Notamacropus eugenii: one gene and its partner. The protein of the gene in region 2 binds, or shares a complex with, the protein of the main gene of each other region. Links are inferred from orthologs where the notes say so. Each region holds a gene or a part of one and is shown on either strand. Other genes may lie near its edges.

What was found.
Region 1: the proteins of CTSK (region 2) and CST3 are in contact, whole or in part, in a crystal structure (PDB 8V57), measured with the Mus musculus proteins. The link is inferred for Notamacropus eugenii from reciprocal best matches to the Homo sapiens genes CTSK and CST3. Residues at the interface, in NP_031828.2 of Mus musculus: Asn132, Gln133, Gly134, Gln135, Cys136, Gly137, Cys139, Trp140, Glu173, Asn174, Tyr175, Cys177, Gly178, Gly179, Gly180, Tyr181, Met182, Ser248, Ala251, Ser252, Gln257, Phe258, Val274, Asn275, His276, Ala277, Ser297, Trp298, Ser301, Trp302; in NP_034106.2 of Mus musculus: Pro27, Arg28, Met29, Leu30, Gly31, Ala32, Pro33, Gln75, Leu76, Val77, Ala78, Val80, Asn81, Tyr122, Pro125, Trp126, Lys127, Thr133.

What each region holds. Positions count from the first base shown.
Region 1 is NC_092872.1:600,093,198-600,101,268, reverse strand, and holds the start of CST3 (cystatin-C), read left to right. Parts: upstream 1-4,585; 5' UTR 4,586-4,731; coding exon 4,732-4,956; intron 4,957-8,071. UniProt on the Homo sapiens protein: As an inhibitor of cysteine proteinases, this protein is thought to serve an important physiological role as a local regulator of this enzyme activity.
Region 2 is NC_092873.1:304,709,147-304,717,477, forward strand, and holds the start of CTSK (cathepsin K), read right to left. Parts: upstream 3,433-8,331; 5' UTR 3,389-3,432; coding exon 3,162-3,388; intron 1,996-3,161; coding exon 1,945-1,995; intron 1,424-1,944; coding exon 1,294-1,423; intron 729-1,293; coding exon 606-728; intron 1-605. UniProt on the Homo sapiens protein: Thiol protease involved in osteoclastic bone resorption and may participate partially in the disorder of bone remodeling. Displays potent endoprotease activity against fibrinogen at acid pH. May play an important role in extracellular matrix degradation.

The DNA.
Region 1 (8,071 bases), on a different chromosome or scaffold from region 2:
GTGGCTAACTGGAGGCAGTGGCTGGGATCCCATCACAATCGACATGCCTGCTATTTCTGTGAGAAATATGAGTTCATGGACACACCTGTAGTTCTGGTGAGGAAGTGAGGCGTATGTGAGGAAGTTAGAATGTTGGGGGGAGGGGGGCAGTGGCTAACTAGGGGCAGTGGACCTGCTGTTCAGTGGGACCTGTGATTGAGTCCGAGATTCTCTAGTATGGTTAAAGCTAAATTATGTGGTCAAATCAGGGCATGCCTGCTGTTCAGTGGGACCCATAAGGAAGTCAGACTTGGGGCTGGGGGCAGCTTTCTGAGGATTCCATCAGTACTGATATTTTCTCAGTCACCTGTGTTGGTAAAAAATGCCTGTGATTTTTTTAAAGCATTTATCATCTTTTCCTCATTCAGATATCTTGATATCTGATTACTCGATGCTCTCAAAATTGTGTTGCCTCAAGCAAAGACTACCTTCATCAAAACTTCATCTGCTCCACTTATTCCTACCGTCTCTATTTCCTTTAGCACCATTACTACTTGGATAATGCAACAGAAATTGCAAACTAGAATTAAAGTCATAAGTCTGGAGTTCAAATCCTGCTACTTTTACTGATTGTTTTTATGATCTTGAGCAAGTTACTTAACCTTCCTGGGTCTCATTTTCTTCATCTATAAAATGATAGGGGAGAGGATAGACTAGATGACCTCTAATATTTTTTTGACCTCTAAACCAATATTATGATGTAGTATACTTAGGGATATAGTAGTATAGTGATGTATTAGGAACTGTTAAAAGCTCAAAAGTAAGAGCACTGCTATTATAAACAGGGAAAGCAATTTCTTATGGAGATCTTTATAGAATTTTCCCATTTTCTTAATTTATTTTCCTCTCAGCTATTAAACTTATTCACATTTAGGTATAAACAACTGACAAAATTCATTAACTTTATCCAGTATTTGTATTTTTGAGAAATGAAGAATTTGGTTGAACAAATTTTAGTATACAAGTAAATAGAACATTACTGCTCCATAAAGAATAAACAATGTGATAAATTCAAAGACTCATAGGATCTAAGTCATAGATCTGAAATATGAAGGCACCTTCCCAGTAATCTACTCCAATCTCCTCATTTTACACCAGTTTTTCCCATTCCCCCTCCCCAAAGCTTCCCTTTTTCCAAGTCCTTGAAAAAATTGTCTGAACTCTGCCTCTACCCTCTCCTCTTAATCACTCCTCAACCCCTGGAGGTTAGGTTCCAATCTCATCACTTAGCTGAAACTGTTCCTCCATGGTTACCAAAGACCTCTTAATTGCAAATCTGATGTTCTTTTCTCAATCCTAACCCTAAATGTAAACACATTTGACATTTTTGACCACCTTCTCCTCCTTAATACTCTAAATGTTAGGGATTTTCATGACACTTACTCTTTCTTCCCTGGTTCTCCTCCCTCCCACCTATCTGACAAGTCTTCCATCTCATTTGTTTGTCTATCAATCACATCATGCCTTCTATCATTGTGCCCCATGGTTCCATCGTCGTTTTTATTCTCCCTCTTTATTCTCTCTCTCTCTCTCTCTCTCTCTCTCTCTCTCTCTCTCTCTCTCTCTCTCTCTTTCCCTCTCTTTCCCTCTCTCTCTCTCTTCTCTCTCCCTCTCCCTCCCCCTCTCTCTTTTCCTCTTTCTCTCTCTCCCTCTCCCTCCCTCTCTCTCCCTCTTTCCTTCTCTCTCTCTCCCTCTTTCCTTCTCTCTCTCTCCCTCTCTCTCTCTGTCTCTTTGGCAAACTCATCATCTCACCTGGTCTTAACTATCATCTCTATGCAGATGACTCTTAGGTCTGCATATCTAGTCCCAGTCTCTCCTTAGCTTCACTCTTGCCTCAACAACTGCCAACTGGCTATTTCAAACTGGATGTCCCAAGGACACCTTAAATTCAACATGTACAAAACTGAATTCATTATCTTGCCCCACTAAACTCTGCTCTCTTCTAAATTTCTCTGTTTCTATCAAAGGTATTACCATCCTTTCCAGTCTCCAGTTCATAATGGGCACTATCTTGGACCTTTCACAGCCTCTCACCCCACATATCCAATCAGTTATCAAATCTATTTTTATTTTTTTTCTAACAAGCATTTATTTTTGCCTTTCCTCCCCCTTTGAGAATTAACCACAAGAACAAAAGTCTAACAGATATGCATGAGCAAAGCAAATTCTCACATCAATCATACCCAAAACTCTATGTTTCTCTCTACATTGTGAGTCCGTTACTACTCTGCCAGGAGGTAGGTAGCACCTGGGTTTGTCATGGCATGGATCAGAGTTCTAATTCTTTTCGAAATTGTTTTGTTTTGCTTTTCACATTGTGGTTACTTCAGAAATTGTTCTCCTGATCCTGCTCACTACCCTCTGTATCAGTTCACACAGATCTTCCCAGACTTCTTTGAAATCATCCACATTATCATTTCTTAATGAGCAATAATATTCCATTTCAATAACCAAATCTTGTTATTTTTACCTCTATTACATTTCTTATCTCCAATCCCATCTTTCTACTACATAACAACTGCCTTACTCCAGGTCCTCATCACTTCTCACCTAGATTACTACAAGAGGCTTCTACTTTGTTTCCCTAAGCTGTATGCTGGGGATACAAACAGAAAGAATGAAGTAATGCCCAACTTGCATTCCGATGGCAGAGACAACAAGTCCATATATATACATAAGCATATGCAGCATAAATTTGAAGAGAATAAATACAAAGTTGTTAAATACCAGGTAGTTTGAGTGGAAGGGCACTAGCATTCGGTTGATTCAAGCAAAAGATGGTACTTGATCTGTGTCTTTAAGAAAGGATCTCTATGAAAAAGAAGTAAGAGTCACTGTGAAACCCAGATGTGAGACAGTGTCAAGGCATAGTAGATGGAGAGTCGTATGTGAGGAATAAAGAGGCTAGTTTGGCTAAATTTTAAAGTGAGGGGTGGAGAATAACATCTAATTGGAATGATAGATTGAGGTCAGGTTGCCTAGGCCTTTAAAAATTACACTCCTTTTAATTGGTTGGTTGGTTAATTGACTGGTTGATTGACTGGGTGCCAGACTGGTTACAGGATTTGTTTAATGCCACACCGGTAAGAAGTAGAGGAGGTGGGATTGGAATTCAAATCCTCTGACTTCAATACTAATGCATTCTCCAGTGCACTACCTTACCTCCCAAATAGGAAATACAAGAGAAGATTGTATTGTGATATAGTGAACACAACAGACCTGAAGTGAATATAAAAAAAAAACTGACTTTAATTATGTAAATTAAGTCAACTTTGAGAAGCAATAAAATTCAGATCAATCAATCAATAAGTAGTTATTAAGTGTCTTTTATATACCAGGCACTATGCTAAGCACTTTGATCAGTGAGTTGGACAGGACTGGTACTAACTTGGAAACTTTTTTTTTAAAAGAAAGCACATAAAATGTAAAGTTGAGAAACATTTAATTGCTTATTATGTGCCAGGCACTGGCACTTAGCAAAGTCCCTGGAATACAGCAGGTGCTTAATATAGAAGGAAAAGGAGTAAGCATTTATAAAGTGCCTACTGTGTACCAGGTACTGTGCTAAGTGCTTTACAAATAGTATCTAATTTGGTCCTCACAACAACGCAGGCAGGTAGGCACTGTTAATATCCCCATATGATAGGTAGGGTTACTCTGTAACAAACAGAGCAAGTGGCTTGCCCAGGGTCACATAATCGGTATCTAAGATCGTATTTGAGCTGGGGCCTCCCTAGCCCCAAATGTAAATTGACTAACTGTCCGGGATACAAAGAAAGCCACAGACACCGTACCAGACCTCGGGAAACTGACACTCTCATCGAGGAAACAAGGATTAAAAAAATGTACGTATATATGTAACAGACAGGCCACGTGACTAAAAGGTAATCTCAGTCGGGTGAGAGGAGGGTAGGGGGTAGGGGATGGGTGGGAAAAGTACCCCCTGGGCTTTTAGCTGAATCTAGAAGGAAGCCAGGAGGGCCAGGGGCCCTCCCTCAGGGATCGTTTGTTTCCCTGTTCTATGTACATTGTAACAATGCTGAGGATACAAAGGTTTGGCACGCTTGGAAGAAATAACGTCGGTCCCCAAAGCGTGCGTAAAAAACAAATTACTTGTAATTACGTAACAAAGAAATAGATAACAAACGCTTGCCAAATGAAAATTAAAACAATTTTTAAAGGAGTTTTTTTAAGGAAGTCCTAAAAGGGATATGGAAATCACTCCCAACCTCCCACCCTGTGTGCTCTGCCTAGGCATACGACGTTTTTTTTTTTCTTTCCAAAAAAAACAACGAAACTGAACTGGAAAAGTGGTCAAGCGGGCCGCGGCTGCAGCCTCGGCCCCGGGCTGCGCGGCGTCCGGGCGGGGTTTGCACAGAGGGGAGGGGCAGGCGGGGGAGGGGCAGGCGGAGGAAGGGCCGCGCGGGGGCGGGCTGGGCTGGGGGCGGGGCCGGGCTGGGCTGGGGGCGGGGTCGGGGCGGGGGCCGGCCTGGGGGCGGGGCCGGCCTGGGGGCGGGGCCGGCCTGGGGGCGGGGCCGGCCTGGGGGCGGGGTCGGGCTGGGGGCGGGGTCGGGCTGGGGGCGGGGCCCAGCGAGGAGCTATTTAGATCCAGCCTGGCCAGGCCACGGGAGGCGCGTCCCCCAGCAGAGATTTCAGCTACGTTCTCCTCGCGGCGCACTCCCAGGAGCTACGATGGCCGGTCCCCGCTCCTTCCTGCTGCTGCCTCTGCTGCTGCTGGCCCTGGCCTTCGCCGTCCAAGCCGAGCGCCTGCCCCGCCTCCTGGGCGGCCTCATGGAGGCCAACGAGAACGAGGAGGGCGTGCAAAAAGCGCTCGGCTTCGCCCTGAGAGAATTCAACAAGGCCAGCAACGACATGTACCACAGCCGAGTGTCCAGGGTGGTGCGAGTCAGGAAACAGGTCTGTGCGGAGCCCTTCTCCCCTTCCCGGGCCCCGTCATCCCGAGGCAGGGCCTGGAGCCGCACCCTCCGCCGGGACTCCCAGGCTGGGGGCGGCTCCAGCGGCGGCATCCCGCCCCGCTGTTCTGGAAGCCACCCCAGGCGCCCTCCTCTGCCCCAGCTGGTGGTTGGTTGGGCCCCTCCCCTGTGATCCCGGGGGGGGGGGGGAATCTGAGCGCGGGGGTGGGAGGGGCTTGGCAAGAGACCCTCATTTGGGATTGTGAATTTTAAATATGTGTGTCTGAGTGTGGTTTTAATTATGCATTTCTTTGTGTATGTAGATATATATATAGGTGTGCACATATGTATATATGTGCATGTGCTGTGTGTACAAATGAGTGCATATGCAACGTATGCTTATCTTTGTGCATAAATATACATATGTGTCTAGAGATATACACAGATATATTCTTAAGGTCAGGGACTGTATCGTTGTTTCTCTTGACCCAATTAACTAAAATGTATTAAATGCCTACCATATATGCCAAGCACTGCGCTAAGTTCCAGTGGCTAGCACGCAGGAGGCACTTCATATATATTTCTGGACTTCATGTAAATGCAGCTTTACGCTTTAGTCACTTTCTGTTTGTTAAAAGGAGAGAGGGGCATATGCTTTTTTTTGTTAGTACCAACCCTGTCCACCTTGTTCATCTCGGTGCCTAGCGAGGTGTTTGGTATATAGTACCTAAAACATATATATGCATTTAAAAACATTTTTCTGAGAAGGGGTCTGTAGGCTTCAGCAGACTGCCCAAAGGATCCTTAAAACATCCGGAAATGATTAAGGAACCGTGATTTAGGAGGTGAATTGTCCTCTGTTGGGCAAATAGAAACAAATGCTTTCTCTCTCTCCTACCTAACCAGGCTTTTCTGCACTGTCACTTGGATTAAAAAGGGGAACGGGAAGTTTGCATTGGATGAATTCAGGAAGTAGAAGACCCAGTGTGCTTTCTCCTTTGCAGTTCAGTGTGAGGGATGCTGTACCCCGCACCACAGGGATTTACCGGGAGTATTTATTCTTTGGCTGTAATGCATTCTTCTTCATCCCCCAGGCTGTGATGGGAGCCAAGTTTGTGACTAACGTACCAAGTAACTTTGCACTGTGAGTTTGGGGAGTCTGAATACAGGAAAATGGAGTTGATGGCAGTTCTTCTTGGGACTAACCTACACCCTGTTCTTGTGGATACAAGTCCAGTAGTGAATAGAATAGCTCTTGGTCAGCAAGGCAGTTGGGGTGTTAACTAGTATCTTGACTTTTTAATCTTTGTTTTTTTAAAGTTCAGAGGAGAACCCAAACTGGCTGTTCTGTGGCACCTACTATCTCTGTAATTTTTTTTTCTTCTACCAAACAATTGTGAATCAATCATTTTTATCTTTGAGCTTTTCTGTTTTTTCAGGTAGTAATAAAGACTAGAAGGACGTAATTGAGCTGTCTTACTTAACACCTGCATGACATTAGGCAAATCAGTTAACTTGCGGCTCTCAATTTTATCTTTATCTTTTTATCTTTAAAATTAGAAAAATGGAATAGGTAACTTTTAAGGTTCTTTCAGTTTCTGAATATAAATTATCCCTGGCCCATTCTCTTCCCTATAATACCCAAGAACACATTAGGTCAGAAAAATGCCTCATTGTCTAATGGCCGAAATTCACCTCTGGCAAATGATACTCTAATGAAAGACCCGTTTGTCAGATATCATTAGTCTGAGGTGGTCCATTTTTCTGTATTTAGGTTTTGGGATTGTTTTAGCTCACAGGCTAGGAATCCTCAGTCGATTGGACATTTGAAGAGTATATTTTTTAAAAAGTCAAACTTTATTTATTTATTCTTTCTTTTGTTTTCCTCTCAAATGTTATTCTGCTCCGTATTTCTGAAAAACTGGTTGGATGTTGGATAGGTCTGGGGTTGCCTAATAATGGCCTTTAGGGTCAAGCCTGGTTGGTGTTTCGCATATGTGTTTGTGTAAGAGAAATTACTTAAGATCCCGCTTATCATGACATTGTTTTGAGGGATTGTTGTGACACAGAATTTTAGACTTGAAGCTTCAAACTTTCAATTTCTCTGGGTTTTTGAGGGTTGTGGGAAAGGTTACCCAGTCTGTTCTGCCTTAGAAAATGTCCACACAATTGGTGTCTTTTCCTGTACCCATCTGAAAAGGAGAAAATGTCTTGGGCCATGCATGCATCACTTGAACTAAGCCTGGTGGTAAGGTTTATTGTGATTGTGTCTTAATCCTGAAAGTAATTTCTAGGTCTGTCATTTTTCTAAGATGCTATAAGTTTCTATTAGGAAGCCAGAATCCTGATCTAGTTGTAGGTTACTACATTTGTATGACATTTTGAGATTTCCAAAGCACTTTGCATACATTATCTCATTTGAACACATTTAACATTTATAGAATCACAGAATCTTAGGCATGTAAGGGACCAAAGAAGTAGCTTAGTCCAATCTCTTTCTGAACAAGACTCTATGCTATAGCATCCTTGATCATGAGTGAATGAAATATCGTTTATTGGCCTGCTATGTGCCAAGGATTTTACTATAGGAGTTTTACAACCCAGTGGATAGGATTGGGTGTTTTGATCTGGGGGAGTCACAAGAATGGGAAGGAGCCATGGGATGTTTCACAATAAGCTGTGTTGGAATGAGGAAAAATCTGGGGACAGTGCTAGAGCTAGTCTGGAGGAGCAGGATAGATAGATGCTAAGTATGTTCTGGGGCTAGCTAGATAGGATGGGTTACCAGAGTTTCCATTCTCTCACTTACAGGAACACATCATCTAACACCCACTTAACATATCAGAACAGCTTAACCAAAGGCAGAAGTTCTAAAGCCCAGTGAATTTATTCTGCAGTCTACAGACAGAGGTCTCTAGAAGTTTAGTGCTGAGGTGGTGTTTTTATTCTCTGCTCAGAGACTTCCTGTGAAGGAAAGACACACACTCCTCCCATTCTGCTTTTGACTTGTTCTAATGGTTATGGAAAGTGGACTGGATTTGGTATCTTCCTACCTCTCTTCCATTCAGGTTCCCTGAATTTGCCATTTGTATGACCTGAACCAGCTAGGTGGCACAGTG
Region 2 (8,331 bases):
TTGGTTAAATACAAAACAAAACATTCACAGTAGCACTCTGTGGTGGCAAAAAACAAAACAAAACTGGAAACAAAGAAGGTGCTTATTGATTAAGGGATAGAATAAGAATTTGTATTATGTAAATGTAATAAGCCAGTACTGTACCAAAATAAATCATGAATATGAGGAATTCATAGTTACATGGGAAGACTTGTAAGAACTGATGCAAAACAAGGAAAGCAGAACCAAGAAAATAATATATACAGTGACTATACACAACATACACAATGTAAATGAAAACAACACAACTCAAATTAATTACAGTGAACAACCTGGGATCCAGAGAACAGAAAAGTTAACATATATGCCCCTGCTCTTAGTAGAAAAATGGGTGCTGTGGGTACAGGATTCAGGAGCATCCGTTATCAGACATGGTTGTCAGGCATGCTCATTTCCTCAGTGGAGGAAAGGAAATCTATCTGAAAATGACTATGATGTGCAATAAAAATTCTAAAAGGCATATTTTTTTTAATGGAAAAAACCTTAAGATGAGTCTGGCTCCTGTTGCCAGGTTGAGACTTAACCCTTACATAGGAAATTGAAACTAGGGGATAAGACAGACTTACCATGTCTCCTAAATGGTTCATAGCCAGTTCAAACGTGTGAAGACCAAGAGAGAATTCCAGGTTGTGGGTGGAAATATATTTCAGGTTCTTTTCCCAAATCAGACGTCGAGAGATTTCATCCACCTAAGTAGAGCAGGGGTAACAGTGACTCTGACTGAACATCCTTTGTAGACTACACTAAGTATAGACCTATACTAAATGTTGTCAGGGAGTCAGAAGGAAGATGCCAGATACTCCCATGCTCTAAGAGAGGACAATGTGAGGAAACTAAACATATGTGCATAAAAAAAAAATTTAAGAGTACTTAGAAATTAGTATATAAAGAAATGCCAAATATTATAATCATATTAAGTCCATAAGTCCTGGGATGATATCAACCAAGGGAGTACACAGACCTGGCATGGGTTATTCTGGGGAGTCTTATAGAAGAAAGGTTAGAAAGGCTACAAGGAACAGGGAATTAAGGTTGGGTAACAAGTTGGGGTAAGGCTTGGAGGTCAGAGGGGGGAAGTATGAGTAAAGAACAGGGGAGATTTGCTTCAAGTGGGAAATTTATATTGAATTTATAATGATTTATATTTCAGGGAGGGTCTAGTACTTAAAAGAATGTTACAGGATAGAAGAAGCTTTGACCCCTCAAATACTTCCAATCGTCACAACTCAGGCCTCCCTCCAGGTCCCCACATACCTTGCTGTTATATTCTTTTCCATAGGATTTCTTCCACAACTTCCACTGTGTATCTAACATCTCCTCTGGGTACAAAGCAGAACTCACCACTGATGGCAGCAACAATAACAGGATGCTGAACCCCCACATCCTGAGGGAAGAAATACTGTCCAGATTCTGGATGTGCAAGGGGTATATATGAAAACTGCATTCAAATTCCAAATCAAGAATAATGGGGGTGGGGAGAAACTGTCATTTTGGGAAGGGAGACAGAGTGCTGAGAATGGTTTATGACCAAAGAATAAGAGTCAGGGACCCAGCTCTGGGTAAAATCTAAACATTACAGAAACACATTGCTTTTCTTGTCTGATTCCTTGACTCCTCCCAGTGTACTTTATCCTGGCAAAACATCACCCAAACACACACAATAGAGAAACAAAATAAATATATATATTGAGATGTGTCTAAGGCAGGGCGATTAGTCCTTTGCACCAACGTATAAAATTTAGAGGGCACGGCTAGTATTTGTAATTTTTCAGCAGTTTAGTGAAATTAGAAAGAAAATAGTTAATTAAAATAAGAAAGCTACCAGATGGTGGGCTAAAGAGTATTCCAAAGTTTCTATCTGCTCACCCTCCCACATACATCCATTCCTTTCAACTGAGCACTCACTTTGTACTGTTTGCCTTTGAGTTGTCTTCAGTGCAAAGGTTTCTTCTAGCTCTACATATGTGGAAGGGAAAATTAAAAATGATCTGATTAATATCTTCTCCCTCTCCCTCCAGTATGCCCAGCAAGCCCAGAGGAGATGATAAGGAAAAGGGAATGGCCAAGATCAAATTAGAATTTTAATAGACACCAAGTGGAGGTTTTGACCTGATCAGTGAATCTCCTTAGACTCTGACCTACTTTTCTTTCAAAAGAACCCATTCCTAAATTCTTAGATATAGAATGGACTGCTGAGCCAAAATTTGCTAATTGGAAGGATTTTCCTCCCTGTCCCAATCTCTCTTGCTTTCTCTGCTTCCCATTCTCCTTACTTATTTCTATCTCCCTTTCCCTAACCCTTCTCCAAAATCCTCCCCTCTCCTCTACTCCCAACTCTACTGTAGTTTTTTTTTCCTCCTCCTTTTTCAGGAAACTGCTCTAATATCAACCAGCTGCTGTGGTCAGAAAGATTTCCCTTTCTTTTCCACTGTCAGAAGCCCAGTTTCTACATCCCAAGAAAATCAAGCATGAGCAGCCCCTGAAGGTCAAGTACTCAGTCCCACCCTGATCTGTGGGACTGTGTTATAAAGCCTCCTTCACAAAAGCAGCTATGCAGAATAACATGCCACATGACATCCTAGGTACTAACAATTTTGAGTAAGCTTAGGCTACTGAGGGCCATTTTGACCATGTCTTCAGTCCTTTTCATGATTGTACCGGAAGGGCCAGGGCTGAGAGACCCTCTATACAACCCCAGCCATGTCAAATATTAGCAGTTACCATGCTGGGAGGCCCAGAAATCTTAGAAAGATGGGATAGCTTTAACACTCTCCCCTCCACTTGGGTGTTGTAGTATAAGGATCCCTAGATCTAAACTCTCTTAATCCTTCCTCTCCCTATCCTCTTTTGAAATCAGGCAAACAACTACAAGCAGAGCCTTGGGGGAATTCGAGTGGGTGGGAGGCCCCTAACCCTTCTGCCCTCCTCAGAGTTTTAGGACAAAGTCCACTCACAAGATACATTGCAGATTTCCAAAGAAGAAATATCTATGTGGCAACAAAATTATCCCTAGAAGTCACTTCACCCATGTCGTAGTATCCCCTGATTTTCCTAAAGAAATCCACAGGCAGGGATGAGGAGCGGAAGGGCAGGGGAAGGGTAAAGGAAAAGCGCAGCTTTACCTGATGATGGTCTGTCCTCTAGTCTGGAGAGGAAGGCACAGGCACGTATCTGGGGGGATGATTATGGATGCTAGTTTTATTCCAAAAAGTTTGAGGAAGTCAGTTCCAGCAGTCGGCTGGAAAATCTGGACTGTCAGGCTGGGAAGTGGCCAGGAGGAAGAGGGGGGAGAGGGGCAGAGTGGAAGGAAACCAAAAGAGAGAAGGGAAGGAGGAGAACAGATTTGCATATCAACAGGGAAGAGTTGCTGGGTGTTATTTCACATGACTTTGTGGCACACAGAAAACTCGTCTTGGAAGCTGGGCTATTCAGCCTCAACACAGGATCCTCCCAAGCTTTATCTTCTCTATCTTCTGGCTGAGAAGGGTACTGGCTGTGGGAGGCTAGTTTTGCCTCCCTAGTCCCACCAGACTGACTTTTCACACGTACTAAATACCTACCGTTTGGGGTACTGTTTACTTTAAAACACACACACACACACACACAAGAGCAATGTTTCTTTTAGTCTGTAAGATTAGCAATGTCTTAGGTCACTGAAATTCTCAGCAGATGACCTTCACTCCTATTTTAGAGACCATTCTCTCTCCTAACCCTGGATGTCGAAACTTCTTTTTCTTCAAATCTATTTTTCCTTCAAGTCTCTCAGAAGAACTAATGCACCTGAATAAAAGTAACCCACTACACCACCTGTGGTGTTCATCATATGTTCTTGTGGACCCTGAGAGAACTTATTGGGGAAGAGTACCATTGAAAACCAAATTGTAGACCTACTTCTGCCCCTAAGTAGCAGTTTGGTCTTACATAAAAGATTTCACTTTTCTGGGTAGGTGTGTGTGTGTGTGTGTGTGTGTGTGTGTGTGTGTGTGTCTGTGTGTGTGTGTCTGTGTGTGTCTGTGTGTGTCTGTGTGTGTCTATGTACACAAAATGAGGTGATTGAACAAAACAATTTATAAGGTCTATAAGTCTAAGCTCTTCTCTAACTTCAGTCATTTCTTCTCCATTAATTATTTATATCCACTTTAAAAGGACAGCTTGGTGGTGAAATGGATGGGGTGCCAGATAGACTCATCTTTCTGGGTTCAAATCTGGCCTCAGACTCTTACTAGCTGTGTGACACTGGGCAAGTCACTGTTTGCCTCAGTTCCTCATCAGTCAAATAAGCTGGCAAACCATTCCACTAACTTTTTCAAGAAAACCCCAAATGGAGTCACAAAGAATCAGATACAACCGAAGTGACTCAATAAATAAATCCACCTAAAAAGGTCTTCCCTATCCTAAGAAAGAATCTTGATTTTCACCCTGATGAAGACTTCAAGGCACTGTGCTCTCTTCTTCCTTTCACTGCCAAATTTCCTGAAGGAGTGGTCTACACTTACTTCTCTACCCTTGGCAGTCTGCCTTCTGTTTCTAACTTTACTTCACTGTGCTCTCTCAAGATCATCATACAATAATCATCCCTCTTTACCTAAAGAATTTAACAGTTACACCAATGAAAAAACAAGCACTTCCTCCTTCCCTGGCTGCTTAATTCTGCTTACATCTGGTACTCTTGTCTGACCACTGTGTGTCTATGTATATATGTTTATGTATGTATATGTGTGTATATATATACACACATATGGTCTGTATGTTCACATATAGGTATGTGTGTACACACATATATTTAAATAAGTACATACCCATGTGTGAATGTATGTACATGTATGAATGTAGTTATATATGTGCCCCATTAGAACATGAGCTTAAGTAGGGATGGTCCTTCGCTTTTTTGTTTGTATCCCTAACAGTTAGTAGTGTTTACCACATAGTAGGCATGTAAATGGCTTATGACTGGTTATTTTTTTTATGTATGTGTGTGAATGTAAGGTCTTTGAGGTAATTTTTGCCTTGTACCTGTTAAGCAGGACTTGGCACATTGTAGATGCTTAATAAATGCTTGTCGATGGACTGACATCTCTTTCTACTAGATTAAAAGCTTAAAGACATCTAATCTTTTTCTTTTCCCCAGCACCTTGTATATTGCAGATCCTCCCAAGAACTTGAATCACGAAAAATCATGTTCAAAACGTGCCCCAGACTTTGTGTTTTACCTAAAGCAAATAGTTCTCTCTCAACCCTAGTCCCACCAAACTCTCAGCCCATTTCTTCATCAGTAAAATAGGGATATTACATACCTCAATCAAAGGACTATTATAAGAATCAAACAATATTATGTATAAAAGTGCTTTGTAAACCTTAAAACACCCCATGAATGTTATAAATTCTAGTTTATCATTCATCTTATGGATTTAAATGTGTTTGGTACAAGGCTGTTATCAGGGTAGCAAATTCCTCCCAGGGATGCACATCAGGAACTCCTCTGGAACTGGCTTGTGGCCATTTGGTTAGTACGTGACAGAATCAGAAGGTGAACCATTGTAATCTTCTTGATTCCAAGGTCAGCCCCTCAATCCATTTTGTCAAATTCTTACAAATTCAAAATTCAGCCACTTTATGGAGTGAGGTAACCAAACTTCCTGCCTCTTGTAAGTTATTCACCAGGTCAGTATGTCTCTACCTCTCCGACCCCATTCAAGATAGTATCTTTCCTATATAGAGGAACCTTTTTCTCAAGGAAAAGAAATGATTCATGACATAGGAGACTGTTCAGCTACAAAATAATTGAATTAGAAATAGCAATTCCAATAATGACAACACATAAATCAATGCCAGAAGCATTGAGACCACGGGGAAGGTTGAAGGGATTTCCCTTTTCTTAAGTGTTGAATGGTAGGAATGGGTATTGTCTGATGATTATTACATGCCAGTCATATGAGCCCTTCTAGACCATCCTCCCCCTTCCCAGCATGTGACAGATCACAAGAGTCTGCCTCAGCCCCAACCCCCCCCTTCCCCCCCCTCCCCCAGTAAACAGATGACATGGGAGAAGGAAAAAGGATGATTCCAGCAAGATAAACACATTTGGTTTCTTTTCCCCAACACAGCTGGATTCTAGCCCTAGATTTCCCTGCAGTTCAAGCTCAAATTAGTCTAGTTTCTTCAGCCCATGCTACAGAAGACAGTCCCAGAAGGAAACCAAGAACAAGCAGAAACAGCCTGTCTCCCAATACTTAATTTTTTTCCATCAGAGAATAAAGATATTTGGGGTCAGAGTCTAGTAGAGATAACTTTTTCCTGCAGGGTTTAGAGCTCTCTCTTCCTTGGAACTCTGCTATATATATAGGCGTCCTCTCTTCCCATCCCCTTCCATTTCTTGAAAGTAGCAACATCAAAGGGCCAGTAAAAAAGCAGATGAATGATCAGAGCTCTGATTTGAGGTTTGTTTTTTTTTAAATACAGATTATATAAGCATCTCATTTAGGGAATAGTTGTTTCTTATCTTTGGTGTCTTAGTATGTGTATTTTTTGGTGGAGCTAACCTGTGCTCTGTGTCACACAGCACATTTTTGTCTTTCTGTCTGTGTATACCTTGGCAGGAAGCATTAAGCAAGAAACCTGGGCAGGGATGGTGCGGTCACAATCAAGACTAAAACACACAAGGATTTTTAAAAAGGAAAAATATCTTTGCTTTAAAATCTCTGCTACATAATGACATCATTTGTGCCACCATGAGACTTGACATAGGTGCCAAGTAACAAAGAATGGCCAACAAGAAAAATAAACACAACTGAAAATAAAACCCTGAAGGAAGAGTAGGAACAAAACCCCCCAGAGTTTTTTTCCCTCCCTCCCAAAACCCTACAATAACTGTACAATATTATAGTCCTAATCACATTTAAAAATAATTGATTATCAAAAGACAGATTCAAATGGAAACTCAACTTTTTGGCTTCTTAAATTGTGATATAAATATAATATATATATAATATATATAATGTATGTATGCTGTGTGTGTGTGCACATAGATTTTTAAAAAATAAAATATCTCCTTCTCCCTGTCTTTTTGCTATCTGGTACCAGGGTGAAGGGAAGGGGAGAGGAGAGGCCAAATCAATATGACATTGCCCCCCTTCCTCCCCAAGGTCATCTGTTTTCAAGACACCTACAACTACATTAAAAACATCTTGCCCTTAATAACTCAGCCTTGTAATTAAAAACTGGCCTGAGGCAATAGGAAAAAAACACTGTTGTCACTTCACTGTGACCTAAGGCTCAAATGCCATAATAGTAGCCTATATCCTCAACCAGAGGGCTACACTAATTGTTAAGAAGCCCTGTTTGATATGGGTTCCTACCCATCTGCCACATAGTATTATTATATTTATACCCACTTGCCACTCCCTACTCCCAGCAAAAATTTTTGAGACCCAACTTGACTCTAAAGACTAGGCAGAAAACAAGGTGTAGCATCATAAACCCTTTTTTCATCTGTGTGCTAGTAACAAGGAAAAATGTCTTCTTTTTTCTATTTAGGTCTGCTTGTTTAGAGAATGGGGATTGAAAAAAACTTATTTTTGAGATGAAGTTGGTATCGAGGTGCACAGCCCAGTATAAGGGCCTCTTGCTGGGGCTCTCAAACCAAGAAGTTGAGTTTCCATGGGGTTATTTTCTCCACAGTGCTTGTACAGTGTATAATTCTGACAGAAAATGCATTGTAGTCCTTGTGGCCATGAGTCTAGGGTTTCTTAAAAAAGTTAGCACCTGAGCCCACTTTCCATAATATCTTGAAGTTCCCTCCAAGTGAGGAGCACTGTCAACAGTGAAAGTGACCCAATTTTATCACTGATGATGTTCAATGAGAAGGTGCCCGCACAAAATAGTCCTACACAACTGCTCACACTGGCTGGGCATAGATGTGAACACAGCAAAGAAGTTAATCTAAATATACTTTGGCTGCAATGTGGAGCAGAAAATACCTGGAATTAACACTTTAGGACTTATTTGGAAACACACACGCGCACGCACACACGCACACACACACGCACGCACACACACGCATGCAGAGTCAGGACTAGAGTATGCATAGTCCCCCTGCCACAGAAGAAACAGACAGACATACACATGCATGCACAGACAGATAGACACACACACACTCTCTCACACTCACTCTCTTTCTCTCTCTCTTTCTCTCTCTCTGTCTCACAAGTTTCTTTCTAGAAGAATTACTCACACAATTGAAACTATCTGTATCCATTCCTAAAGCCATGTGCCTGCTCTTTCTTGGGCCTCATA